4 linked regions of the Diceros bicornis minor genome follow. The protein of the gene in region 1 interacts with the protein of each later gene in a biochemical or structural test. Links are inferred from orthologs where the notes say so. Each region holds a gene or a part of one and is shown in the gene's direction. Other genes may lie near its edges. The genes, in order: TJP1, CLDN8, CLDN2 and JAM2.

The links.
Region 2: the proteins of TJP1 (region 1) and CLDN8 form a complex in vitro, tested with the Homo sapiens proteins (2 studies listed by BioGRID and IntAct, with this or other methods). The link is inferred for Diceros bicornis minor from reciprocal best matches to the Homo sapiens genes TJP1 and CLDN8.
Region 3: the proteins of TJP1 (region 1) and CLDN2 form a complex in vitro, tested with the Homo sapiens proteins (2 studies listed by BioGRID and IntAct, with this or other methods). The link is inferred for Diceros bicornis minor from reciprocal best matches to the Homo sapiens genes TJP1 and CLDN2.
Region 4: the proteins of TJP1 (region 1) and JAM2 form a complex in vitro, tested with the Homo sapiens proteins (2 studies listed by BioGRID and IntAct, with this or other methods). The link is inferred for Diceros bicornis minor from reciprocal best matches to the Homo sapiens genes TJP1 and JAM2.

The regions. Positions count from the first base shown.
Region 1 is NC_080744.1:79,819,335-79,827,103, reverse strand, and holds the start of TJP1 (tight junction protein ZO-1), read left to right. Parts: upstream 1-4,750; 5' UTR 4,751-4,767; coding exon 4,768-4,943; intron 4,944-7,769. UniProt on the Homo sapiens protein: TJP1, TJP2, and TJP3 are closely related scaffolding proteins that link tight junction (TJ) transmembrane proteins such as claudins, junctional adhesion molecules, and occludin to the actin cytoskeleton.
Region 2 is NC_080766.1:30,990,744-30,996,455, reverse strand, and holds CLDN8 (claudin-8), read left to right. Parts: upstream 1-4,523; coding exon 4,524-5,201; downstream 5,202-5,712.
Region 3 is NC_080781.1:99,660,662-99,668,167, forward strand, and holds the start of CLDN2 (claudin-2), read left to right. Parts: upstream 1-4,499; 5' UTR 4,500-4,521; intron 4,522-7,506. UniProt on the Homo sapiens protein: Forms paracellular channels: polymerizes in tight junction strands with cation- and water-selective channels through the strands, conveying epithelial permeability in a process known as paracellular tight junction permeability.
Region 4 is NC_080766.1:26,994,700-27,001,680, forward strand, and holds the start of JAM2 (junctional adhesion molecule B), read left to right. Parts: upstream 1-3,965; 5' UTR 3,966-4,210; coding exon 4,211-4,277; intron 4,278-6,981. UniProt on the Homo sapiens protein: Junctional adhesion protein that mediates heterotypic cell-cell interactions with its cognate receptor JAM3 to regulate different cellular processes. Plays a role in homing and mobilization of hematopoietic stem and progenitor cells within the bone marrow.

The DNA.
Region 1 (7,769 bases):
GGATCATGTTTTTATATCCATTTTGCTAAACTTTGTCTTTTGTTTGGAATGTTTAGTATAGTCACATTTAACGTAATTACTGATAAGGTAGGATTTATGGATGCCGTTTTCCTATTTGTTTTCTGTATGTCTTATGTCTTTTTTTATTTCTCTGTTACTGCTTTCTTCTGTGCTATGTATTTTCTAGTGTACTCTTTTAATTTATTTATTTCTTTTTCTATATTTTAAAAAGTTATTTTCTTAATGGTTGTCCTGGGGATTACAATTAACTTCTTAACTTAAAATAATCTAGGTAAAATTAATACCAATTTAATTTCAATAGTACACCAAAACTATCCTCTAATATAGCTCCATTCTCTCCCTCCTCCTTTGTGTTATTATTGTCATACAAATTACATATTTATACATTACAAGCCCATCAACAGTTTATAATTTTTGCTGTATGCAGTTGTCTTTAAAATCAGATAGAAGAAAGAGTCTCAAGTAAAAATATTTTTTAATTAAAACATTTTTAATATTAAAAAATGTAAAAATATTTTAAAGTCTCATATATTCAATTACATAGTTGTCTTTACCAGTGTTCTTTATTTCTTTGTGTGGATTCAAGTTACTGTCTACTATCCTTTCATTTCAGCCTGAAGGACTCTTTTGGTATTTTTTGTAATGCATGTATGCTAGTGATGATTTCTCAGTTTTTGTTTATGTGAGAATGCCTTAATTTCTCCTTCATTTTTGAAGGATAGTGTTGTTGGATATAGAATTCTTGGTTAATAGTCTTTCTTTCAGCCCTTTAAATGTCTTCCCTCTGCCTTCTGATCTCCACGATTGCTGATGATAAGTCACAGGTTAATCTTATTGAGGATTCCTTGTATGTGATGAGTTTCTTTTCTCTGGCTCCTTTCAGAATTCTCTCATTGTCTTCGTCTCTCAACAGTTTGATTACTGTGTGTCTAGGTGTGGACTACCTTCAGTGTATCCTACTTGGAGTTTTTTGAGCTCCTTAAATGTGAAGATTAATATTTTTCATAAAATTTGAGAATTTTTCAGTCATTATGTCTTCAAATATTCTGTGTCCCTTTCTCTCTCTTCTTTCCTTCTGGGACTTTATCATATGTTGGTATGCTTAATGGTTTCTCATAGGTCTCTGAGGCTCTGTTCATTTTTCTTCACTGTTTGCTTTCTGTTCCTCAGACTGGATAATCTCAATTGACTTATTTTCAAGTTCACTGACTCTTACTTCTGCCATTTCAAATATGTTGTTGAGCCCTTCTAGTAAATTTTTTATTTCAGTCATTGTACTTTTCAACTCCAGAGTTTCATTATTTTTTAAAATTTCTGTCTGTTTATTTATATTATCTATTTGGTGAGACATTGTTCTCATACTTTCCTTTAGTTCTTCAGACATGGTTTTCTTTGGTGAAGATATTCATAATAGCCAATTTAAAGTCTTTGTCCAATAAATCCAATGCCTGGGCTTCCTCAAGGGCAGTTTCTATTAACTGCTTTTTTTCCCCTATATATTGGCCATATTTTTCTGTTGCTTTGCATGTCCTGTAATTTTTTGTTGGAATCTGGACATTTCGAATAATATAACGTGGCAACCCTAGAAATCATATCCTTGCCCCACTCTCCAAGGTTTGTTGGTGGTGGTGTTTCTTGTTGTGGTTGTTTTGTTCATTTAGTGACTTTGCTGGACTAATTCGGTAAAGTCTGTATTTTTGTCATGTGTGGCCACTGAAGTCTCTGCTTAGGTAGTTTAGTGGTCAGCTAATTATTGGACAGAGATTTCCTTAAATGTTTGGAACCATTAAGTCTCCCAGCCTTTGCTGAGAGGCTGTGTGTGTTGGGGGATGCCTTCAACATTCTGATAGGTAGTTTACAACTCTTCCTTAACCTTCACTTTCTGCTTGCACTGAACCTCAAGGTCACCCAGAAGCGAGAGATTAGGGCCTTCTCAGGTGTTTCCTGAGCATGTACACAGTCCTACATGTGCACATGGCATTCTGGAGTCCCAAGAATGTCGAAGTTTTTCAAGGCATCATACGGAGCCCCATTCTCCACTTTTCCTTTTAATTTTTCTGGTTAGCCGCTTGTTAGCCCCAATGGGTTTCACTGCCTCAAGCAGCTTGTGATGCTAAACAATTGTTACTGATTGTTTCTGACAAATGCCCTAGGGATAGGGCTGTTTGCACAGAGTGAGATCCTGAGCCAGCCAGGTCAAATAAAGACAAGCACTGTAAATGGAGCTTTTCAGGGTGCTGCCAACAGGTCAAATAATGACAATTATCTGAGGATAGGGCTTTTGAGGAGCTCTAAGCCCATTAGCGGCTGCTAGTCAACTGGTTTTCAATACTACTTTAGTTACGAGGCTGTTGGTTTACAAGGCTACGGCAGAGTTGGAGAGAAGGGGATGGGAACTGGGCAAGTCAAAATACTATAAAGCTCACCGTTCTAAGATTCAGTAATTTTTTTGTACAAACATTCTTTGTATTGTTGCAAGCCTTTGGTTAATTTCTGGAGTTCTGGAAAGGTTGGTTTTGACAAATTATAGCCACTGCTCACCTTTTATGGAGAAACAGATTATCTGCCATTCTGCAAGTGCTTCTACCAGTTTATTTTTATCTCTCATTATCCTGAATTGATCTCTTCAGCCTCCAGTTGTCAAAATCCTTGAGTACAGTGCAGTATTTTCATCAAATATCTTACCAGTAATATGACAAGGTGGTGCAAAAGGCCAAGCGTACATTAGAAACGGTACATACATAAGTACAGGCCCTGATATTTTTTAAAAGTACTGCTCCAAGGTCTTCTCCCATGTGTGGATATATATTTGAAGTGTCAAAGATCTTCTAATTCCTCATTTTATGTGAGAGCTAAAACTTATGGATAAATGAAAGTGAAATAGATTTAGACCTGCTTTCCTACCAAAGTGACTGTGAAATTATGTTGGGAGCCCAAACTAGGAGACTGTTTTGTTCTAATCTTACGTGCTAATTAATTTGAAAATGCAGTGTTTAAATAGAGGTACAAGAGGGATGCACTGTGGAGGGAGGGTGTTAATGTTTGATAATTCTGCCTGGTGGATGCACAGGCACTTGTTATCTGTACTCTTCATATATACATCCTATACACACACATACACACACACACACAAACAAACAGGCAGTCCTTGCTCTGCAAGTTCAGATATGCCTGATGTTAGCTACTATGGCTCAGTTAAATAATACCAGTTGCTCAACAGTATGGTTCAAATTTCAGCTATCATGGCATATTAACTGTAAGAAAATGCATATAGCGCAAACGCACGTAGTATAAACTTCGCTGCTAGCTCTTTAGTCCACAAAGCACAACACAATAACATGTGCATCATGATCAGTGACCAATCACAGTAGTTCTTTCAAAGTCTGTTAGTCATTGGTCACTGCTGCACCTGTTATTCAGTTTATGCAGCCAACTGTGCAGTTGTGTTGCCTCCTCTTCTCCCAGTGATAAACCTGTACAACATTGCATAAAAATGGGTAATTGAAAGAGGGAATTAGCCAGCAAGATGAAAGTGCAGCAAAGAAAAAACAATAAAGATGGAAATGAAGTAAAATTCGAATGGAATGTAAATGGAGTTACAGAAAAAATAGGCAACTGTGGGAATGTTGACTCTGCTGCCTTTCCAGAGACTCTAGACACGCAGCCAGAAGAACTTAGTAAATGTGAACTTGAATGAGGAAAGTGGTTGTGACAAAAAGGATGAGGATGTCCCAGAGGACGTCACATTAAAGGAACTCTCTGATATATTTCATGACATTGAAAGTACAGAGGATAAAATGCTGAAAGTGACCCAAATATGATGCTCTGCCAAGGCATAGAAAAGACGCTCTCTCAGTATATAACAATTCTACTAGCAGAAGACAAGAGCTGTGCAAGTTACTCTTAATAAGTTTTTCTTACAGAGAAATAAAACACTTTAATTCTCAATCTTTGTAATGTTCTAAGTCACACTATTAAGTGATTAGTTTTACTATTTTTTTTTTTTATTTCTCTATACATTATCTCCATCAGTGAAGAGAGTTTGGAATGTTTTGACAAAATTTTTAAAGGTCATGGAACAATCTCCATTTTTCCCAATGATTACGAAGATAGTTTCGCGTGGTTCAGGTCATTTCCACAATCCTGAACTGCCTGGCATGCAAGCGAGGACTGCATATATGTATATATATACACACATACACATATATACGCATTGTATATGTGTACGTATATACATATACATGCATTTTATATATACACCAAGTCTGCAAACACTTCAGGCTAGAACTGATGGTTACAAGCTATTAAGTGGTAATTATAAATTAAAAAATTAATTTTTTCCTCTCTGGAAGCTTGTCGTTAGGATCCCTTTGGAGCAGAAACGGTCGGAGATGAGTTCCCGTCAGCCGCCGAGGAAACTGAGGCACGCGGGGGCGCCGGGCCTGGGCGGCGCCGGTGGGCGGGGGCGGCGCCCCGGCCTCACCCCGCCGCTCCCGGAGCCGGCACACCGCCAACCCGGCCGCCTGTGAGGCCCGCGCCGCCCGCGGCTTGCGGGGTCGGAGGGGGGCGGTGCGGGAGGCGGCGGCGGGAGCGGCGGGCCACGCACGGCGGCGGCGGGAGCGGCCGGGCACGCACGGCGACGGCGGCGGCGGGAGCGGGGGTCCTGGCCACGCACGGCCGCGGTGGCGGCGGCTTCGGGAGCGGGAGCGGCGGGAGCTGTGGCGGCGGATGGCCCAGAGCTGATCTATGCGGCGCTTGGAGGGGCTGTGTCTGCGGCGCCGGCGGCGGCGGCGGCGGGGCCCTGCCCGCGAGCGGAGCGGGGACAAGATGAAGTACCAGAAATACCTGACGGTGCTGCAGATGGCCATCGGCGTCACCCCCTCCAACCGCGGCAGCCTCCTGCCGCTCAAGAGGAAGCTGTGGTGAGGGCGCGGCGGGCGCGGGGCCGCAGCCCGGACCGGGCGCGGGTTGGGGCCGGGGCCGGGGCCGGGGCGGGCCGGCGGCGGCCGGGCCCGACGGGCGCGGAGAGCGCCGGGCGCAGCAGCCATTTCGGAGCCCCCTGGGCCGAGCGCCTCGGCGTCCCGCGCTCGCACGGTCGTTTTCCGCTGCGACCCTCGGCGGTGCCCGGCGACACGCAGAGCGGCGCGCCGCGGGAGGGAGGGGCCGGAGCCGCCGGCTGACGGGCGCCCGGGCACCCACCGTCTCCCGCCGGTGTCTGTCCCTTCAGCTCCATTGCAGCGAGTTCGGGCTCGGGATTGCAAGCCAGGCTTTCTTGCAGGCAGCGAAAAATTTAGCATCACAGTATGCGTTTTCTGTTATTTCTCAAAACCCGTCTGCTCTTGGGTACCTAGTAAAGGACGAGCCGCTCCCACAGTAAGGGGAATAAGTTGCGAGATTATAATAAGGGGAATAAATTGCGAGATTATAATTGCATTATCAAGGACTATATTTTATCTGCATGTGTCTTAGTTCCTCCGACCTGGAAACTGTTATTGGGGTAACAGGAAAAGAACGCCTTTAGAGAAGAATGTCTGGACGTTATCCAGGTCAGGTTTACATAGTTGATTATCTCTCAGATTGTATTGCCTTTTATTAGTATTTAAATATGTCATATGGAATCCCAGTGGCTGCCTAGGCACTCTCTGGACTTGCGACTTAGGCGTAAGGTGCTATGACAAAAGAAATAGTCAAGTAAAGGGATGGTGACTAAAGAAAAAAGATGCCAGTGATCTTGGTATTCAGTGGTCATTTTAATTTTAAAATTTGTGGTCAATGTAGTTCATAAAGGTTTTATACAATTCAATTGAACATAGTCTAATTTAATTTTAAGGTTATAGAGAAAAGGAAGTAAGGCTGTTTTTAGGCATTTGGGGAAAGTAATTTCTGCTATATCAGACAAATGAGAAAATGATCCAAGGAATATAAAGATTGAGCACCCAAAAAAAAAGAGGAGTTAAAAAAAAAGAATCCCAAGAGTAGAGAATTTTCGAGATAAGACCAAAAAGTATAGGCAGCAAAGTTCAGATTTAGCTGTGCCACTTACTGTGTGACCTGAAGCAAGTTACTGGAGTATCTGTTTCTTCCTCTGTAAAATGAGAATGTTATCTACCTCATGGGGTCATATGCAGATCAACTGAGATAATGAATATGAAGTGCCTGCCACTATGTCTGGCTCAATAATAGATACTTAGTAAATGTTAGTGTCTTCCTCCTTACCCCCCACCTCAATTTGTTTAAAAAAAGAGAAATTTATTCTGCAAAAGGTAGTTTAACTTGATGAACAGCAACTGACAACACATCGAAGACTAGACTGGTAAAAATTGGCAGTAATTGAATTAATAAATGTCCATGGAAGAAGATTTTGCAAATATATGAAGATTATGTCGCTATTATGAAGCAAGAAACAGTAACATTTGAAGATGACTTTTCAGATTGATGGTGTACAGGAAAAATAAAAAGAGATCAGCACCAACAGTCTTATCCCCACCCTCCCACCACCATGTTTTTCTCCTGGGCACTTAGCAATATCTAACCCACTACATACTTTACTTCATTTTCATATATGTCGCCTCTCACCGCACTAGCATTTGCATGGGGACAGGGCTTTTGTCTGTTTAGTTCATTACTAAATCCCCTGCAACTAGTATCTGGTGCAAAATAGGTTCTAGAAAGACATATGTTGAATAAATGAATTCTTAATAATGCATAACTGGGAAAGAAAATTTTCTCGATGTTAAATTTAAAAACTAAGATGTCGGAATAATGTCTGAGGAGCCATTAGGCATGAATATTAGCAGCACTTGGTCACAAAGCCAGGAAACTAGATTTATTCTTTTTCATAATTGGAGTGCTACTTCTGAAAATACATTCCTCAATACAAAGTTTGTGAAGAGAGAACTTGATAAGATAAAATCCAGGTAACTTTTTTACTCTGGGGAGTCACATTTGAGGCAGGCAGTGAACTGGGGACAGGATTAACAACTGTCTTACTAGGAGACGGCCTGGGAAAGGGCAGGGGGATTTTGTTGAACTTTTCCACAATCTTAAACAAGCATTTCAGAATTTCCACTCAGCGTTAAGTGAATTTGCAAACGTTTATCTAGTTTCTACAGTGGGAAAGTGAGGAGCATACGCTACAAAAACTGTGGAGTGGGTGGTACTTTTAAACACAGATGTCACAGATGTATAATCCTTTTTTTTTTTCTTTAAGTTAGAGAATATTGTGCTGCTTGATTAATCTATCTGTTATATCCTCTGGAATTGATTTTGTAGATAACATTTCATTTCGCCAGTGTCGTAGCAACTGCACGTGGAGAATTTGACACGGAAGGCACCGTTACATGGCTAGAAGATATGAGGGTGTGGGTTCTGACTCCAGAATGGTGGGTGGGAACCAATAGCAGATATATGTCAGCAGTGTATGTCAGACCTTGAAATGCACCAGCTTATGCCCATTTACAAGATGTGAGGGTATACTATGATAATTGGTTGTGGCATATATGAAGATTTATATGAAGATGTTTATGAAAATGTGTATACTCTCTGTGTTTCTCTCTCTTTAAATTATTGCAGTCTGTGTGGAAAGACAGCATGCCTGCAAAGCTTATGCCAGTGTAAGTAAAGGGTAGGGTTGAATGATCCAGTGCTTTATCTCCACACTTCTATCTAGTTTGGCCATTTGTGCTCATCAGCTTTCCTTTGCGCAACATCTTTCTGTCTTTGTGATTGGCTCTGTAAATCCTTTAAGG
Region 2 (5,712 bases), on another chromosome or scaffold:
TACTATGACTAGCAAATTCCAGCTCCTTTAAAAAAATTTCCCAAATTATTACAATTAGGGAAGGTTCATGTCAATTTTGTGCATAGAAATTACTTGTTAATTTAAAGAAAATAATATCACAGTATATAGCTTAATTTTTTAAAAAGTTATTTCCCTGGATTTCCAGTCCTTTAGGGGGAATATCAATTACACTGCACTCAATAAAGCATGCAGACCTATCTCCCAAAATATGTCAGAATTCACCACAACTCAGATTTTAATTTTAAAAAGTACAATGAAAAGTAGAAGAAAGACAAAATCATTTCAATAACCATTATTCCTATTGTCTATTTATATTCACTATTTTTTTTTTCATCCTGGAAAAAAGATGACTCCTGAGGCAATAATAGACCCTTCAGAATTATGTGAACTTAATTGCTCGGATTTGTTGGTAGCTAGATGTTATGGATAGCATGTTTGTGTCGCCCCAAAATTCATATGTTGAAACCCTAACCCTCAATGTGATGGTATTTGGAGGTGGGGTTTCTGGGAGGTAATTAGATTTAGACGAGGTCATGAGAGTGGAGCTCTTCTGATGGGATTAGCGTCCATATAGGAAGAGAAAGAGAATAGAGCTCTCTCACTCTCTTTCTGTGCCATGTGGGGGCACAGCAAGAAGACCGCAAACCAGAAAGAGGGCTCCCACCAGAACTCTTCCATCTGGCCCCCTGATTTCAGACTTCCCAGCCCCCAGACTGTGAAAAATTAATTTCTGTTGTTTAAGCCACCCAGTCTATTGTATTTTGTTAAAGCAGCCTGAACTGGCTAAGACACTAGACAGCTACTGTACAGGAAGGAGTTCATTTTTAAGCAAAGCAATTGAGTGTAAATTTTAGAGAGGTGGGATTGTGGAGGACTGCTAATGGATACAGAACTTTAAGAAGAGAGAACACGAACAGCTAATCATCATGCAGGACAAATAGGATAGTAGTTGAAGAACATGTAGCAATGCACAATATTGTTTTGGGAACAACAAACAAAGAGATCTATTGATGTGTTCACTTGTTTTCTTAGGACAAGATGGTCAGCCAAGTACAGTTTATTTACAGTGAAAAATAATTAAAAATAAATACAGGGTGAAAATTGTCAACACAAGAAAGAAAATTAAGTACAAAAACAAATCCAGAAAACAATAGAAATTGGCAACTGCTTGACTGGCAGAAGCAAAGATTATTTCAAGTAGTGATAAGAATTAATAGGAACCCCAGACTAAAGCGTTGTTGGTTAGGATTAATTGCTGTAAGAATAACGATGACAAAAACAAGGGCATCCTGACAGTGACATTGTATGTTTTCATTTTTAAAAAGAAAGCATTTGCATGTGTTATGTAGTTATCAGACCATTTAATTTAGTAAACTTAATTGCTAAATTTAAATCATCCTTCTGATAATGTAGACGAAGGGAGATTTCCAGAGTGAATACAGTGGGTCAACATGAACATGCTTTTTTCTTTCTTGGGTTCTTGGTAATATTTTGGTTCTTCCATAGAAATGCAAGTACAAATTATAGAAAAATCTGTGCAGGTTCCTCTGTGCTCTGTAGTTTTGAATTAAAGAACAGTAAAAATGTTATTAATTTCCTAATTCTCTAACCATTACTGCTATTTGAATTTTGCAGGCAAGTGAATCATCTTAGTAGGAATGTAGTATTATAGAAAAGTAGGTAAACAGTTAACTTGACTTATTTATTTATTTATTTTTTGGTGAGGAAGATCAGCCTCGAGCTAACATCCATGTCAATCCTACTCTCTTTTTTTTTTTGCCGAGGAAGACTGGCCCTGGGCTAATCTCTGTGCCCGTCTTCCTCTACTTTGTATGGGAGGCCGCCACAGCATGGCCGGCGAAGCGGTGCGTCAGTGCACACCGGGGATCCAAACCTGGGCCGCCAGCAGCTGAGCGCGCTCACTTAACCACTGAGCCATGGGACGGGCCCCGTAAATTGACTTTTTAATCTCTGAATTTAGGCCTTTCGGGCCCTAGTAAACTTGGTATTACCATTTTTCCCTGTCTTTCTCATTTCCAGTGATCTTTAGAGCACAGTTAATTTCAAAATATCACGGGATTAAATGGATCACTGTGCGATAAGAAACAAACCTGGGTGCCCTGGGGTTAACTGGATCCTTGTCTGATAAGAATCCTACCTGGATGCCCTGGGCTAGTTTCTGCAAGGGCAGCTAACTCTATAATTATTCCAATGTGAAACTTGGGTTAGCTTCTCATTCCGATCCTAATCTTTTGGTGGGGACAATTCCAGTGGTAAAGTACTAATATTTTTGAAATGAGGAAAATATTTTTGTGTGAAATAAGGTCCTGGTAAACCTCAGCGCTTAAGGAAAGAGTGTTGGTGGTACATGAAGCCAACAGACGCGTCAATGCACACCTGGGAGGCAGTTTCCAGGAAGGCCAAGATCTCAAGTACGTAGATACCTATTTGTCTCAAATTTTCCCATTTTTATCTGGATATTCAGCAATATGTAAACAAAGCTCCTAAAAAACATGTCACACACAAATTTTGGAAAGAAGTTGCAATTTTATTTTCAACAAACGTATATTTTTTAAATTTGTCGTTATCTCAACCAGTCATGTCATTTCTTTTTCATTTTCCAATTCTGGCAGTCATTCCCCTTTCCCAGGTTAGCAATTAAAGATAAAGAAAAAAACGTGCTGTTTTGATTGCAACTCTCCTTTGGTGGATACAGATTATTTTTCCAAGGTTAACCTATTTCCCTCTCCACCACAAATCTGTGCCAATACAAGCCTGAGGGAGAAGATGCTATTTTCTGTCAGCATTAGGGACATGCTGTAGGTTAGTTCTTAACAGTTCAATGAATGAGGAAATTACTGTAAATATCAAGTTTTAATTTTTTCTTACTTTCAATATGTCCAGTCTAATAAAATAATAACAACTTGGACTACTATACATTCCTGTTTTTTTTTCAGAAGACAGTTTACTTTGGCATCTTCCTCTTTCCCTCCCTAACACGTACCATTTTTGTTTTCATAACCTCTATAAACCACTCACATTTTTTGGACCATTAAACTTTCAAAGTTTAATAAGTGAGAGGGAAGCACTTTCTCCCATACTCACATTTAAGGTGGTACAGGAAGCAGAGAGGAAGTAAAATTGTAAAGAAGAGATCATATTTAAAATGTAAAGATGAAAGGAAATTATTAAAGTACAGCTTGAAGTTTAGAAAGACAGGACAGAGCACTCGAGGTGATGATCTCCAGAAGAAAAGTGCTAGTGGAGTACTGTTTTCCCAAAACAACGTGTATGTTTATTTTGGCACCATGGTGTCATCATCATTATTTTGAGAAGAGACAGTTCAAATTGCAATACCCTTGGGGGCTTCTATCACTTCCTGCAGACATAGTAGTAAAGACAAGTTTAGCTAAAACCTAATATAATTCAATTCAATGAATGTAGTTACCTTGTCTTGTAAATGTTTTATTTAGAAATATCAGTCATTTCTATAGACCAGGACTCTTGTACCATTTGCAGAATTCTAGTTGCTTCTAGAAATTCAGAGAAAGACAGAGCAGCAAAGATAGAGCCACAAAATATACCAACAATCTGTAAATCACTTTATCATTTAATTGCTATTGTGAGTGCTTGCTACATAAGAAAATCATATGGATTCTTTTTGTAGTTTGGCAAACTTTTTTCTTACAAATCAAGATTATCAGAAAAATACCAACAAGTAGTTTTCCTGGCTCAAAACAAAACAATATGTGTTTGGTGCCATGGAGGAGGACAACTTTGTGTATTTAATTACTTTAGCCTTATTTTGTCCTCTGGCATGATCTGTTCCCTGTTTTCACCCCAGTTGAGCTTGCTTTAAAGTTGTAGACAAATTAAATCACCCACTGGGATCATATGTGTCCCAAAGAATGTGGTTTCCCAGGTCTGAGCAAATCTATCAACCCCCTACTCTCCTTTCACTTTGGCATTTTGACAGTCCTAGTAAATTTCTTAGGCAGATATTTTATTTTATATCTTGGTCACAGCAGCTCTTACTGAGTTTCACAATTGCTCGAACAAGGTGCACCTTTCACATCACAAGGGATTGGTGCATTTCTTAATGATTGTGCAAACATTCATAATTATGCCTGCAGGGAAACGTACTGCTGTCCTCTTGGAAAACTGAGAAGTACAAAGAATGTTTATGTGCAGGTCCAGCCGTTCCAAGTATCTCTTGTCAGTTTAGACACACTTGAGTTACCATCCCCCTCTTATTGGCTGAGAAAGTTGCCCCACCTGATTTGTAAGTTTACCTGTCCTAGTCAACAGGGGGGGCACCTCAGCCAGCCAACACTGGATTTAATCTAGCTAGAAGTAGCAAAGCAGCTCTTATTTGAAAAACCACTGAGTTCTGAGTTCATTACTACAGGAAAACTGTTCTCTCCTGGGGCACAGAGAATCTTGCTTCAGAACCAGCCTACCGGCTCAGGAATCCAGTCGGATAAAACCCATCCTGGAGGATAATGGCTACCTATGTCCTGCAAATCGCCGGCCTGGTGCTTGGTGGTGTTGGCATGGTGGGCACGGTGGCTGTAACCATCATGCCTCAGTGGAGAGTGTCTGCCTTCATTGAAAGCAACATTGTGGTTTTTGAAAACCTCTGGGAAGGACTGTGGATGAATTGCATGCGGCACGCTAACATCAGAATGCAGTGCAAAGTCTACGATTCCCTGCTGGCTCTCTCTCCGGACCTACAGGCATCCAGAGGACTCATGTGTACGGCTTGCGTGCTGGCCTTCCTGGCTTTCATGATGGCCATCCTTGGCATGAAGTGTACCAGGTGCACTGGGGACGACGAGAAGGTGAAGGGTTACATCTTGCTAACAGCTGGAATCGTCTTCATCATCACAGGCATCGTGGTGCTCATCCCTGTGAGCTGGGTTGCCAATACCATCATCAGAGATTTCTACAACCCAATAGTGGATGTTGCCCAGAAACGTGAGCTTGGAGAAGCCCTCTACATAGGCTGGACCACAGCGCTGGTGCTGATTGCTGGAGGGGCACTGTTCTGTTCTGTTTCTTGTTGCGATGAAAAGACCAGTAGCTACAGATACTCCATACCTTCCCATCGCACAACCCAAAAAAGCTACCACATGGAGAAGAAGTCACCAAGCGTGTACTCCAAAAGTCAGTATGTGTAGTTGTGTACATTTTCTAACTTTACCTATAAAACCACGCAGATGACTAAAATGTCCACTATTTTCTACAAATGGAACCCAAAGGAACATTGATTTGCCGTTCTTAACTGCCTAACATTAATCACAGGAACGGTGCACGAGCTATTTATGATTCTCTAACCTATTTCAGCAGAATGAGATATTACACACACTGCTTTGATTGTTCTAGGAAGTACAGTAATTTGATTTCTAAAATGGTGCATGCATCTTTTCCCTTTATCAGTTACTTCAAAATGACATGGTTAAAGACTATTATTTTACAACCATGATTTCTCTATGACACGGCATTATGTATGTAGATGAGAGTGGCGTTTATATCTCGCATAAATAGAAACAGGCTTGTATGCTTCTATTTTAAATGAAATACTGATCCATTAAACTGAATAAATAGAATTCAACTATTGCTTTTCTGGGGAATCGGGGATAAGATTGAAGAAGGTTAACATTAATTGTTTAAAAACAGCTTAGTGTTTAA
Region 3 (7,506 bases), on another chromosome or scaffold:
TTCAATAACCCTCTTCTCTAACTACATATCTTTGTGAGGCTGGATTTTCTTCATATACTTTAACCAAAACAACATATTGCAACAGATTGAATGCAAGAGCAGATGTGAGAATCCAGCTGCTTTTATTCAGATACTCAGACACTAAAGAGATTTGCAGAAATGTAATACAATGCCACTTTTCTTGCTAATTTTTTTGTTTTGGAAAATAGTCATTTTTAATAAATATATGTTATATATTTTAACATGCAATGGGTTTATCATTGTGATTTTAAATTAAAAAATGAATAGTTTTAAAATTTATCAGTTTTAATTTCTAATATGTTAAATGTTGATATAACCCATAAAAATGAAAGCCCTTTGGAGTCTTCAATAATTTTTTAACGATATCTTTTATTTATTTATTTATTTATTTATTTATTGCGGGGAGGACCAGCCCTGAGCTAACATCCAATGCCAATCCTCCTCTTTTTTGCTGAGGAAGACTGGCCCTGGGCTAACATCCATGCCCATCTTCCTCTACTTTATACGGGACGCCGCCACAGCATGGCTTAACAAGCGGTGCGTCGGTGCGCGCCCGGGATCCGAACCGGCAAACCCCGGGCCTCCGCAGAGGAGCGCGCGCATTTAACCACTTGCGCCACCGGGCCGGCCCCTATTTATTTATTTTTAAATATGCATACAGGTCATTTGAATAATCTGTGTGACACAATGTGGAAGGATGCATAAAATTCATTCTTTTGGGTATACAGTTTCATGAATTTTGACAAATGCATAGAGTTATGCAGCAATTATTACAGTTCCAACATCCCAAATAATTCCCTGTGCCACACTATTATAGCCAACCCCTTCTCCTACTCCCAACCCCTGGCAACCACTAATCTGTTCTCCATCCCTATAGTCTTGTCATTTCAAGAATGCCATATAAATGGAATCCTACAGTAATCAGCCTTTTGAATTTGGCTTCTTTCGCATAGCATAATACACTTGAGCTTCATCTGTGTAGTTGCCTGTATCAATAGCACACTCCTTTTTATTGCTGAGTAGTATTCCATTGTACAGATGTGCCACAGTTTGTTTACCCATTCACTAGTTGAAGAACATTGGATTGTTTCCTAAATAATTTTTAAAACTGTAAAGTGGTCCTGAGACCACAGATTTTGAGAGACGATGGTAATGGGGGGACATTGGAAACCAATAGATGGATGAAAGAGCCATATATTGAAGGTAGGATTGGAAGGATTTACAGATCAGATGAGATGGGGTGTGGAGGGTCAGAGAAAGAGAAAAGAGTGAAATTAAGTCTAATTCTGAAGTTTCTGGCTTAAACAACTGGATTTCTCAAATAGAGAAGACTGAGGGAAGGTTGGTTTTAGTTCAAAGAGAATCAAGGATGCAATTTTGGACATGTTCAGTTTGAGATGCTTTTGAGCTATCAAAATGGAGATGTCAGTATATAGAGGTCTGAATTTAAGAGGGGAAGGCTGGGCTGAAAATGATAATTTGGAAGTCATCAGAGTATACAGGGTAATTGAAACCATGAAAGATAAAAGAAACTTCTGAGAGTAGGAATGCAGTGTGAAAAGACCTGGGTCAGGCTCCTGAGAAACACCTATATTTAAGGATCTGGCAGAGGAGGAGGAGTCAATGAAGAAGTAGCCAGAGAGATAGGAGGAACACCAGGGGAGAGTTGTATCACAGAGGCCAAGAGAAGAAAACATTTCAAGAAGGGCAAAGGTATTGGGGGCATTGAATGCTGCATGGAGCTCAAAGAAGTTAAAGACTGAAAAGTGGCCATTGGATTTGGTGACATGGGGGTCATTCGTGACTTTGACAAGAACTTCTTGGTTTGGTGGAATTATGGGATGGAATGTCTCTAATCCTCTCTCTGACCTGGACCCTAACTCCTTCTCCAATAGTCCTCTCATCCCTGGCCCTTTGCCCCTAAAATTGCTCTTATTTCTCCTTCTAGACTTTTCTTTTCTTGGCACCATCTCTTCTCTCTCCCTCAATACTCTGCTTTATACAGACCTCTCTTAGATTTTCTTCCTCAAAGCCCCTTCTTCTCCTGCTCTCTTCCCTAACCCATCTCTTCCCAGACCCACATTTTCCTCGCTTTATTCTCCTTAACCAGATACTGCTTTTCTCAGACTGCTATTCTTTCCTCTCTTCTTTCAGACCCCTCTCCATTCCCCTACCTATCTAGGCTCTCTGGATTTCAGCAGGGGTCTTAGCAGATTACTAAGGTGCCTCCTAGGCTCAACACTGAGGAGTCATAGTCTTTGGCACGATTCCACCAGGATCCAACAGTACCGACCTGTAGGAAACACAGTGTTAGAACCTAGTCCTTGAGTGACTGCCAATCTGGTAACCACATCCTGCCAACACAGTGCCCTCATCCGCCCTGGCACCTGCCCCTAAGATTCTGCCTTTTCCTGCCCTCAATTGCACAGAGTCACTGTGAGCTGATGAGGTGCTCCTCTACTACAAATTCTATCTTGCACTCAACCAGCATTTTCTACTTGTCAAAATGCTTTCATATTCATTAGCCTAGCCTTGGAAGGTCAGTTGGGTGAAGCCTGAAGAAAGATGTGAAGACTTGCCCCAGGTCACACAGCTGGTTAGAGGATTAGCCTGCTATCCCTCTCACCCCTTCAGTCTTGCTTGCTTTTATTTCCAAAGACTCCCCAGGCCTGATCGCAGGCATGACTGCCCCTTTAGACTGTCCCAGCCTGCCAAGGAGTAGCATCCTGGAGAGACTCCTGCTCAAGAGCATTGCCAGGGATCAGGGACCCCATTCGCACCTGCAAGACAGTTATGAGCCACCTTGGGAAGGAGGATGATTTCTGATTTGCTTCACTGAATTCAAACTAGGCAACAAATCTGTTTGCTTTGATATTACTTCAAAAACGGAGTAGAGCATAATGATTAAGAGCCAAGCTTCAGAGTTGGCCAGGTTTGGTGGCCAGGCCTGGCTCTGCTCTTCAGTAGCTCAGTGAGACAATGTATATGAAAACCCTCAGCACAGTACGTGACACCCAGAAAGTGTTCAATGAATAGTGGGCCTTATCATTTTTACATAGGAGTCCTTGGGACAGAGTCAATGTGGTACACAGGAAAGTTTACTGAACCAGACACCCAGAGGCCTAGATTTCAGGCCTAACTCCTACTGCTCAACTTGTGATGCTGGGTAATTCATTCATTTCGTCTCATTGGGCATAGGCTTTCTCATCTGGAAATGGTAATAGCTGCTCTTCTTTTGTATTATGTTGTATTAGCCTTTAAAGCATTCATACTCTTTGACCTAGCAATTCTGTTCCTAAAATTTGTCAGTATTATGTGCAAAGAAGCCAGGTTATAGTAGTGAAAAAATGGAAATAACAAAAATATCTAATAGTTAATGGCTAAATATATTTTATGTGATAGAAGACAATGCAGCCATAAGAGAATGATGCAAATCCATTTTTTAATTGACATGGAAATAGGGCCATGTCAATGGACCATGTCAATGTCATATCATTACATTATTTAGAAATGATAGAAGGTTACAAAATTGTACGGTATAACATGATTCAATTTTGTAAGAAATATTTCTATTCATGTCTTCTACGGTATAGCAAAATGTTAACAATGATTAACATTATACCTATTGGTGGCAGTATTATGAGGACCTCTACTTTCTTCTTTATTTTCTGAATTTTTTGCAATAGCATCTAGTATGTTTCTAATCAGAAAAAAAGCAGGAAAGTTTTTTTTTTTTTTTCCATTTGGAGAGCAAACCCAATCGCTGCACTCCATTCCACAGAACTTTTGAGAGACTCAGATGACATACAGTATGGTACTGCTGCGTGTGGTACAAAGAGGAGGCCCACAATTACCACGGCCATCTCAGTCCCACCTTGTAGGGACCTGCTCTTTGAAGTCACACGGGTCTGAACCTATAGTATACATATTTTCCCTTGCACCTTGGGGTCAACCTTAGGGGTGGGGAGAGCTAGGGGCTTGTTGGAGAACAAAGCTGGATGGAAGAGTCCGTGGGGCTGTAGGCAGTGCAGGGCTGCTTGGGCACTAGCTCGTCAGGGCTGTGCTTACGAGGCTTATTTCCTGCTGGGCCTCAGAACTGCTAGCCAGGGACACCTAATGGGCATAACAGAGCTCCCTCCTCTCCCCACCCCCAAAGCTAGAATGTTCCGAATTCCTCCTTGGACCAAACCCTTCTCCTCCCAAGGTCACCACACAAAAGCTCAGCTGGAGTTTCTGACAGGAAAAACACAAAACTCACCAAACTTTTTTTTTTAAGTACCTCAATCTTCCACAGCCTCCAGGGGTTTAATTCTGATCTGTAATAAGTCTCTGACCCAAGGCTGAGATTTGCAGATGGATTTTGCAAAGCTGTGGCTAACAATTAGAAATACTTTATCACCTCGGCTGGGGCCCCTTGCACCTTGCTGCCCTCCCTCAGGATCCCTTCCTCCCTCTCCAGGGCTATACATCTCCTCTAAGGCTCTGCAAAAGAACTGCTTCGTAAGTGTCTCAATTCTGATTTATTTGCTGTCTTTTAAATTCACCTGTGGGCTCTTGCTCCCTAGTTGCTCTCAATTTGGCCCATGGCGCAGCCAGGCTGGGGCACCTTGGGTTTCTGAGGGAAGAGCACAGGAGGGAAAATTCAGGTAGCACTTGGGTTGGTAGTATTTGTTTCCTCAAGGCTACCACCAAGTTTCCAGTCTTTGAAACTACAGCGCCAGAGGAAGCACTCTCCAAATCAGATAATAATTTTCGAATGGAGCTTTTGAGGGCGAAAGGACTGAGATAAAAGGATGGGAGGAAAGGAACTATAGTTTACCCCTCTAACTGTGGGGGGCTGAGGAAGACTTGTCCCTGCGCTTCCTCACATCCAGCTCCAGTGCCTTCCTCGGCATGAAGGCTCAGGGAGTCAGGAGAAGGTAGATTTCTGAGTCAAGTCATAAAGTCTCCCCCTCAAGCCCTTAAATAATTTTCCCCTGCTGTTCTGCAAGTCTGTCATTAGAAATTCCTTCCTTGAAGGAAATCCTGCCATTTACAACGACATGGATGGAACTGGAGGACATTATGCTAAGTGAAATGTCAGACAGAGAAAGACAAATACTGTATGATATTACTTATATGTGGAATCTAAAAAAACAAAACAAAAGAGACAAACTCATAGACACAGAGAACAGGTTGGTGGTTGCCAGAGGTAGAGATGGGGGATGGATGAAATGAGTGAAGGGGGTCAAAAGGTACAAACTTCCAGTTATAAGACAAATCCTGGGAATGTGATGTACAGCATGGTGACTATAGTTAATAATACTGTATTGTATATTTGAAATTTGCTAAGAGAGTAGATCTTAAAAGTTCTCATCACAAGAAAAAAATTGTAACTGTGTGGTAATGGATGTTAACTAGACTTATTGTGGTGATCCTTTTGCAATATATACAAATATCAAATCATTATGTTGTACACCTGAAACTAATACAATGTTATGTGTCAATTATATCTCCATAATAAAAAGAAATTTCTTCTTTGGACTGAGACATTATTCTCTTCAAGTGTCCTCTTTGAAAATGGAATTGGAACCAAAACATTAACAGCACTTATAGCTGGGGATATTGTAGGTGATGTCTGTTTTCTAAATTCTGCCTTTCTGTGTTTTCTAGTGTTCTAAAGTGAGAGTGCTTTACTTTGATGATCAGGCCAAAAATAAACTTTTTTTAAAAGCAATTAGAAAATCTCTCAATCCAGTTGTAGTTCCCTGAGCTGTCATCACTTAACTGCTGCAGAAGGAAAGGTGAACTGCTCCAAGGACAAAATTTCCAGAAAGTAGGGCTTTTAAGGGAATGGCTGTGCCACCTACTAGAGCCCTCAGCAGCTGGAGGTGAGGTACAGAGAGGAGAGCAGGTATTTCAGATTCCTATGAGGGGCTGTGAGATCAAGGAATGGAGGAATGAGGCTGACGGACAGAAGAGGGCTGTGATGGCCTCCAACACCCACAGGATGCCACATCAGGTCCTTCCTTGAGCATGAGAACCCCACCTCTCCTGTCCTACTCAGTCTTATGAGGATGCCCCCACAGAAGAGGTACCATGCTCAAGACTCTTGGAGCAAGAAATAAGGAGCCTAGCAGGGCAAGTACCCAGGCAAGAAGGGGTTAATTCAGGAGCTGCTCTCAGGCTTGACCCTCCTAATCTTCTCCTGCAGTTCCAATCCCTCCCCTAAGGAAGATTAGGTACAGATCCTAAATGAAGCCTTCTTGCCTAGCCCTTGGGCCATGGAGTGTGTTGGCCCCATGCCCAGAAGACAAATTCAGCTGGCAAGGCCTAGAGTTCTCTGTTCTTCCAAAGCAGCCAGGGCTTGACTTCTAGGAGGATCCCTCAAAGAGAGGAGTTTCTTTAAAACCTGCCTGCTTCTAATAGCTATTCAGTCTTCTATATTTGTCAAAGTGGTTTCCTGTCCCCATTACCTTATTTGAGACTCAAAACCTTGGAGATGAGCAAACTAGGGCCTGGAGAAGTTAAGGGACTTCCTCAAAAGGTTCCAGGCAGAACTAAGATGAGAAGCTAGTTTTTTGATTCTCAGGCCAGGATTCTTTCTCTAAACCTTCTACAGCTCATTGCAGAAACAAAAGCAGAATCTAGTCAGGCCTACCACCCAACCACTTGCTGTTTTGTTCACCACTGCCTTCCTGACCCTAGCTAAAAGCAGACCCCCATTAGGCAATTTCTCCCAATTGAATAAGCTCTAACAACTTGTTCTTCTTCCTGCCCAGCTATGCCAAATCAGGCTCTCTAGAGATCCCAAGCCTCAGTGATGGCATTTTTTTGACTCCACCTTCCCCATGGCCCAAACCACTTTCCTACTGAGTCAGGATTGGCTCTGGGGAGAGGTTCTCCTCTTGGGGACACTGTTGACCCCCATGGAAAACTCAAGCTGGGCTTTTCTGCCACCATCTCAGGAATTCTGAAGCAGGAGCTGCTCCTCTGGGAGGCAGGAGGTCTTCTCCCCAAAAACCTCAAGGAAGCTTACCAACACTCACACTCAATGCCCAGATATAGATAGGAAGTACAAAGGAAAAGTATTTAACCCAGCCTGGGTGGGAAGAGGGGTCCAAGGAAGGTTTCAAGAAGAGGATGAGTCCTGAAGGATAACTAGCAATTAGCCAAGCAAATGGTGGATGCTTAAGGGCTTGGAAACAGAGAAAAACGCAAATTCAGAGAAGTATGCACATTCAGATATGGCTGGATCGTGTGTGTGTGTGTGTGTGTGTGTATGTGTGTGTTTATGTATGTGTAGGAGCAAAAAGCATGAGGTTGGAGGTTACTGGTGGGATATGAGGCTGGGAAGAAGAGCAGAAGTCAGACAATGGAGGGCTTTCCTGGTTTTTCTGGGCTAGAGAGTTTGAACTTCATCCTGAAAGCAATTAAGAGGTCCTAAAGTTTCTAAGCATTACAAAGAGGTGGGTGGCACTTATGCTTTTCCATTTTAGAAAGATC
Region 4 (6,981 bases), on another chromosome or scaffold:
CAAGTCAGACAGACGTGTGGGTACCTTGGGTACCCAATACTTGCAATTGGAGTCTGAAATGAAGGTAGAGTTGTGGGACTAAGCCCTTAACCTACTGGGTATGCACTAATTCTGGGTAGTTAGCATCAGAATTGAACTGAATTATAAAACACCTACATGGTGTTTGGAAAGTGGAAGAATTGTTTGGAGTGAGGGGGAAAAAAACCCATACATTTAGTGTCAGAAGTGCTGACGGTAGAAACAGATCATATATGCTAGGAGTATGTTCAGTTTTGTAAGAAACTGCCAAACTGTCTTCCAAAGCAGCTGTGCCATTTTGTATTCTCACAGTTCCTTTTGCTCCACACCCTTGCCAGCATTTGGTGGTGTTGGTGTTGTCAGTGTTCTGTGTTTTGGTCATTCTAATAGGTATATAGTGGTATCTCATTGTCGTTTTAATTTGCATTTCCTTGAAGACATATAATGTGGAGCCTCTTTTCATGTGCTTACTTGCCATCTATATATCTTCTTTGGTGAGGTGTCTGTTAAGGTCTTTAGCCAATTTTTTAATCAGATTTATTTTCTTATTGTTGAGTTTTAAGGGTTTTTTGTATATTTTGGATAACAGTCTTTTATCATATATATATATATTTTTTTTTTTTTTGCAAATATTTTCTCCCAGTCTGTGGCTTGTCTTCTAATTCTCTTGAAATTGTCCTTCACAGAGCAGAAGTTTTTAATTTTAATGAAGTCCAGTTTACCAATTCTTTCTTTCATGGATCATGCCTTTGGTGTGGTATCTAAAAAGTCATCACCAAACCCAAGATCATCTAGATTTTCTCCTACGTTATCTTCTAGGAGTTTATAGTTTTGCATTTTACATTTCGGTCTATGATTCATTTTGAGTTAATTTTTGTGAAAAGTGTAAGATCTGTGTCTAGATTCACTCTTTTTGCATTGGTCTTCTTCCTACCTCTTATTGGATTTATTTCCTTGGATTTATCTCCACATAAATATTCACTTCTTTTTCTGATTGATCTCCTTCATTCACTCTCATGGCTTCTCTTGTCTTCTAGAAAGGTCCTCAAATAGTCCATAAACTATGTGCATCAGAATCAACCAGGGTGCTTGTCAGAAATACAGCTTCCCAGGTGCCCCTGAGATGGAAACTTCTGGGACTCAGAATTTTGGCATAATTTTAAGCAGAGAATCACATTTGAGGATCTCTAGGGGATTCTGAGGAGCAGAATCTTGGTAATCACTGTTCTAGGAGATGTTGATGATATCTACATTTATTTCTTGAGTCAATGCTGAGGGTTTCCTAAGCTCTAGCCCAATCTTTCTAACAGTTTGCTGGTCATCTAAGCTGATAACCCTCAGTCAACTCATCCCAAACCTGCCGGAACTATGTGTGCTCCCTATGTTTCTTATTCAGTTAATGATGCTCTGTATAACCACCCCATACATCCACCTAGGCTAGAAATCTCAGTTACCTACAACTTCTCCCTTTTCTCACATATCTAATTGATGACATCATCCTGCTGACCAGGTTTGGGAAATATCATTTGACTCTACCTGCTTCTTCATTTATCCCACTGTGACCATTTACTTCATGCCTCATCTCTGTCTCAGGACATCACAACAGTTTTCAGACTTGTCTAATATTCTGATTCTCTTATCTCGAGTCCATTCTCTACATTTCCATTTGCATCATCATCCTAAGGTGGCAATGTCTCATAGAACTTTCTGTGATGATGGAAATGCTCTACATCTGCGTTGTCCAGTAGGGTAGCCACTACCCCCATGTGGCTACTGAGAACTTCAAACGTGGCTAGTGTGACTGGAGAACAGAATTATAAATTTAATTGAATTCAAATTTATATAGCCACATGGATCTAGAGGCCACCATATTGGACAGCACAGTTTTAAAATATGGGTTTTTTCATATCCTACCTTAGTGCTTTCAAAAAGCTCTTTACCTACAGGATAAAGTCTAGAGTCTGTAGTGTAATACTGAATGACCCTCATAGTCCAACCCTCTTTTCAGTTTCTGTCACCTCTCTGCCCTTAATTCCATGTGTACCCTAGAGCTATTGAAACTTACTTTTCCTAAACAAGCCATAATTTTTACATCTCCCAGCTTTTGATCCTGCTCTTTGCTCTACCTAGAATGCCCTTCCCTTATTTCCTTCCTTTCAAAATTTGACTCCATTTTCAATGCCTAATAAAGAAAGCCCTGCACCCATCCCCAACAGAGGAACATCCCCTTATCCTTGACCTCAAACAAGCTATTTAGCATCTCTCAGCCTAGTTTTCTCATCTTTCAAGTGGGAATGATAAACTTTCTCCCTCACAGAGTTGTTGGGGGGTTAGATATTGCACAATTCAGACTCTACCACTGAGGAAGCACTCAATAAAAAACTGTTGTTACTATTTTCTGTCCTCCCGGAACACTTACCACATGGTATCAGAGGTCTTTCCAGATGGGACTCCCTCTCTCCTCAAGACTGTGAGCTCATTAACAGCAAAGACTTGATCTTGTTCACCATTGTCCGCCAGCATCCGGCACAGTGTAGCTATTTGACAAATGCCTTGACTGGGTGACAAATAAGCAACTGAGTGAATCAATTATTCACGTAGGTCTCAAAGAACAATAATTTTTTTAAAGTATGCCTTTTTTGTGTGTATCTTTAGGGAGCACCAAAAAAAGACATGCAGATGTGGCAAGAATGAGAAAAGAGGATGCCAACAACTTTTCTTGTGGAGCATTAAATCTTTCTTGTTACTGCCCAGAAAAACTGGCATATAAGCCTGTTAAATCTGTGTCCCTTCTCCTTACTTGACTGGAGTATGAACTCTAACATTTTTGCCATTTTGACTTTCCTTTCTGGGCTCCCTGGTTCCTCTGCCCCTCTCCCCACCATGGGTATTAAGCTTCCATCACTGTCACCAAGGAAACAGCGGGGATGCCTCATTCCTCACAGCTCTGCATATTTAAACTCTGGTCGCCTTTGTCCACTGAGCTAGCTAAATTGTTCCCTCGCTTGCCACTAAATCTACTGTCTTCTATACAGAACTTTATCCATTATTCTACCTCTAACAACAACAACAACAAAAAGATGTATAACAAGTTCTTCTCTTGGGAATGGCCTTTTTCTAAACCTGTCAATACTCTTGAATGCACCAGACATTTTTGGTCCCTAGGAGCAAATATAAAAATGGCCTGTTCAGCCTTTGTAGTGTGTGCAGTACAAGTGCGGGTCAATTTTAAAGCACGCAACAGAGCATTCATAATGGGTTTCCCTTTTAAAAGCACAGTAGACCAAAAATAAATCTGACGAAGGTCAGCTGTAGAGTTTTAACATGTGGAAAACTCCACAGGCGGCAGTTATGTAACTGGAAAGAAACACGATAAATATTTCACACCGTTAGATGAACTTCCAACTCTGACACGTGAAAAGCAAAGAACACAAAACACACCTTAACTCTCTCCAAGGAGCAAAAAGCTTACACTGAGAAGGGGCCAAGGCGATTGCTAAATTCTGAGACTTGCCTTCCAGCACGAGTCTTGATTGCTGTTTTTACCCCCTCGCGTCCAAGGCGCGGCCGGCGAACCCCATCCCCCCCAGAGCGCCTCCCCCGCAGCTTCGCCCGTTGGCCAGAAATTTTCCAAAAATCTCCACCCCTAGGCTGAAAATCCAGAAACAAGTTTTGTGCCAAGGAGGGGAGGAGAGGAGTTGGAGCAAGGCAAGCGGAGTTCCCCGCTCCACCGTGCCCCCCCACCCCGCCCAGCAGCCCGCGCCTCCTGCCCGGGGCTCCTCGCCCTGGGGACAGCTGGCAGCCCCCCCGCCGACCAGACACAAAGCGGCTCAATCCGAGCGGCGCGGGGGCGGGGGGACGCCCAGCCAGGGCTTTCCTTCCGCTGTTCGCCTTCTGCCTGCTCATGAGGACCCAGCTGACACCTCGTCCGGCTTCCACGACCCGCCCCCCTCTCACCCGCAACCCCCAAAAAAGAACGCCCCAGACCCCCCAGCCCCCAGCCAGGCCAGACCTGCCTCGTAGGCAGCCGGCTGAGAAGGCGCCCCTGGAAGGGGAAACTGACACCCTATCAGGGTCCGCCCTTCCCCTCCCCTCCGCTGCACGAGACTCTCCTCTCCCACCCCAGAAGTTGAGGGTCCCTCCGCCCGGCCTCCCGCGCTCCGGCCACCGGGACCCTCGAGACCCCGGGAAGATGGCGAGGAGGAGCCGCCACCGCCTCCTCCTGCTGCTGCTGCGCTACCTGGTGGTCGCCCTGGGCTGTAAGTTGCTGGGGTCCCTCCACCCTCCCGCTCTCTCCTGCTGGGACCAGCTCCCCGAAACCTCCAGCGCCTGCACGCGGCGCTCGTGGAGAGCTGTCTCCGGGGCTCTGGGCTGAGGGTCTGCCGCGGGGCATCTGACTTGGCGCCCAGCGAGCGGGCAGGCTCGAGGGCGGGAGGCTGGTGTCTTCGGTTTATTGTAAATAGCATCTGATTTTGTCATTTCTAGTTAGAGAAAATTAACGGTGCACACCAGTAGGTTCTCGTCTTCGTGCAAAGTTGGGTTAAGTTTTCAAAGACACAGGGACGTGAACAGAATGCAAAACTCACTAACGCGTTATAAGATGCTAAGATCCCAAGATGGCATCGCTCGGAGGCAGGCGCCGGCCACACTCTAAGTACCAGAGGAGGGGGCAGTGTTCGAGTTTTCTGGGCTTCCGAGGGCCCCAGTTGTGCCGGCAATACGCAGTGCACTTGTGGGGCGGGGGGTGGGGGAATTCGTGGCTGCTGTGCCAGAATTACTTTTATCCTCTCCACCTGCGCATCCACATTCAGTTAGAAAAGTCTGGTCTGGGGACTCCAGCCAGCTGCTGTGTCCTCAGGGGACGTCCGACGGGATGATTGTTAGAAAGATGCAGAAGCTGAATGATCGAGGAGCAGGCGGACGTCCCAAAGCCAATTTCACGGGATGGTTCTAAACAAGATTTTCACGGATTCTGGACTTAAGAGATTTAAAATCCTGGGAACGTTTCCTATTATTGTGTTTTCTTCGCGTTAACTTTTTAGGAAAATGGAAGAAATTACAATAGAATTTAAGCACTTAAGCAATGAAGCCCTCCTTTTTTCTTTCGGTTTTCCTTTTCTTTTTCTTTCCTTTTTTTTTTTTTTTAATAGTATGGATTATTGTTGCTATTCAAGTTCTGGTAATAAAATACTTAAAATAGCCAGATGAGTGTCTAATACTATAATCCAGTGACTTTTTCTCACGCTCTCATTGCCGAAGTGAGTATTGCTCAGCTCAAGGTGATGTGGGCATTGTCCCTCAGTGGGGGAGGAAGGTGCCAGTTGTCTCAGTGAAGGGGCGTGTGCTGACCTGTATTAGAGAAAATCAAACTAGAAAGGCAAGGTTTCACAATAAAACCATTATGCAGTTTTGAATTATCAGTTGGTATCATGATGGACACACAGGGGAAAAAATGCACTAATGCTGAAAGGCAACAAAGACGCAGGCTGAAGGAATTGTAACAAAACTACTGGGAAAGTTATGTATTCCACTGACAATCTTACGTTTCAAATAAAAAAGACTGACTTTAGTGTAGAATTGTCACTGGTTAAAAACAGAAAATGGTCTTACTCTGCTATCCCTATTTAGTAATCAAAACAGAAACAATACACCCTAAATTTGAAATTGTAGCCAAGAAACAACCAAGAGGTAAACTAAGGTTTAGATGAATGGGCAGAATAACCTCTTCTTCAAGCTTTGGGTAAATCCAAGGCATTGGCTCTTCTAACTCTCACTCCTCTAGGGGATTAATTTGGAAGTGTGTGTGGATATTTTCTATATTGTTCTTGGTATGCCAAAAGGTCTAGCATTGCAAGAATGTTTTCTTTTCGTTTTTAAAATAAATTTTTAAATTTTAGAATAGTTTAAAGAAAAATTGTGAAGATATTATGGCGAGTTCCTATATACACCACACCCACTTCCCCCATTGTTAATATTTTACATTAGTATGATATGTTTGTCACAATTAATGAACCAATATTGATACATTATTATTAAGTAAAGTCCACACTTTATTCAGATTTCCTTCATTCTTACCTAATGTCCTTTTTTGTTTTGGATCCCATCCAGGACACCACATTACACTTAGTCATCATGTCCCCTTAGCCTCCTCTTAGCTGTGACAGTGTCTCAGACTTCTCTTGTCTTTTATTACCTTGATGGGTTTGAGGAGTACTGGTGAAGTATTTTGTAGAATACCCTTAGTTGGTATTTCTCTGATGCTTTTCTCATGACTAGATTGGGTTTATGGGTTTTTTAGGAGGAAGACCACAGAAGTGTAAAGAGCTATTTTCATCACCTCATATTAAGGGTACATACTATGAACATGACCTATCACTGTTGATGTTAACCTTCATCACCTGGCTGAGGTAACTTATGTCAGGTTTATCCATAGGTCGCCCTTTCTTTCCTCTTTTCATGCTGTAATTTTTGGAAGGAAGTCACTATGTACAACCCACACTTAAGGAAGAAGAGTTATGCTCCACCTCCTTGAAGGTGTAGTATCTCTATAATTATTTGGACTTCTTCTGCTTGGGAGATGTGTCTTTCCCTCCTTCCCCAATCATTCATTCATTCAGCCATTCATTTTTATATCAGTATGGGCTCATGAATATTTATTTTATACTTTGGATTATAGTCCAATACTATTTTATTTAGTTTATTGCACAGATTGTTCCAGCTTTGACCATTGGGAGTTCTTTCAGTGGTTCCTATGTTCCCGTGACATATCCCCATCATGTATATATGCATTTTAGTTTTTGTTTGTTTTTAGCACTTCCTTACTTTTTGGCACTATAAAATGCTCCCAACGGATCTTGCATATTTCCTGCTCTAGTCCTAGAATCAGCCATATCTCCAAGGAGCCCTAGTTCCTTTTATTGGAGAATGGTGTTGGAAACCAAGATCTGGACACTAGGTGTGCTC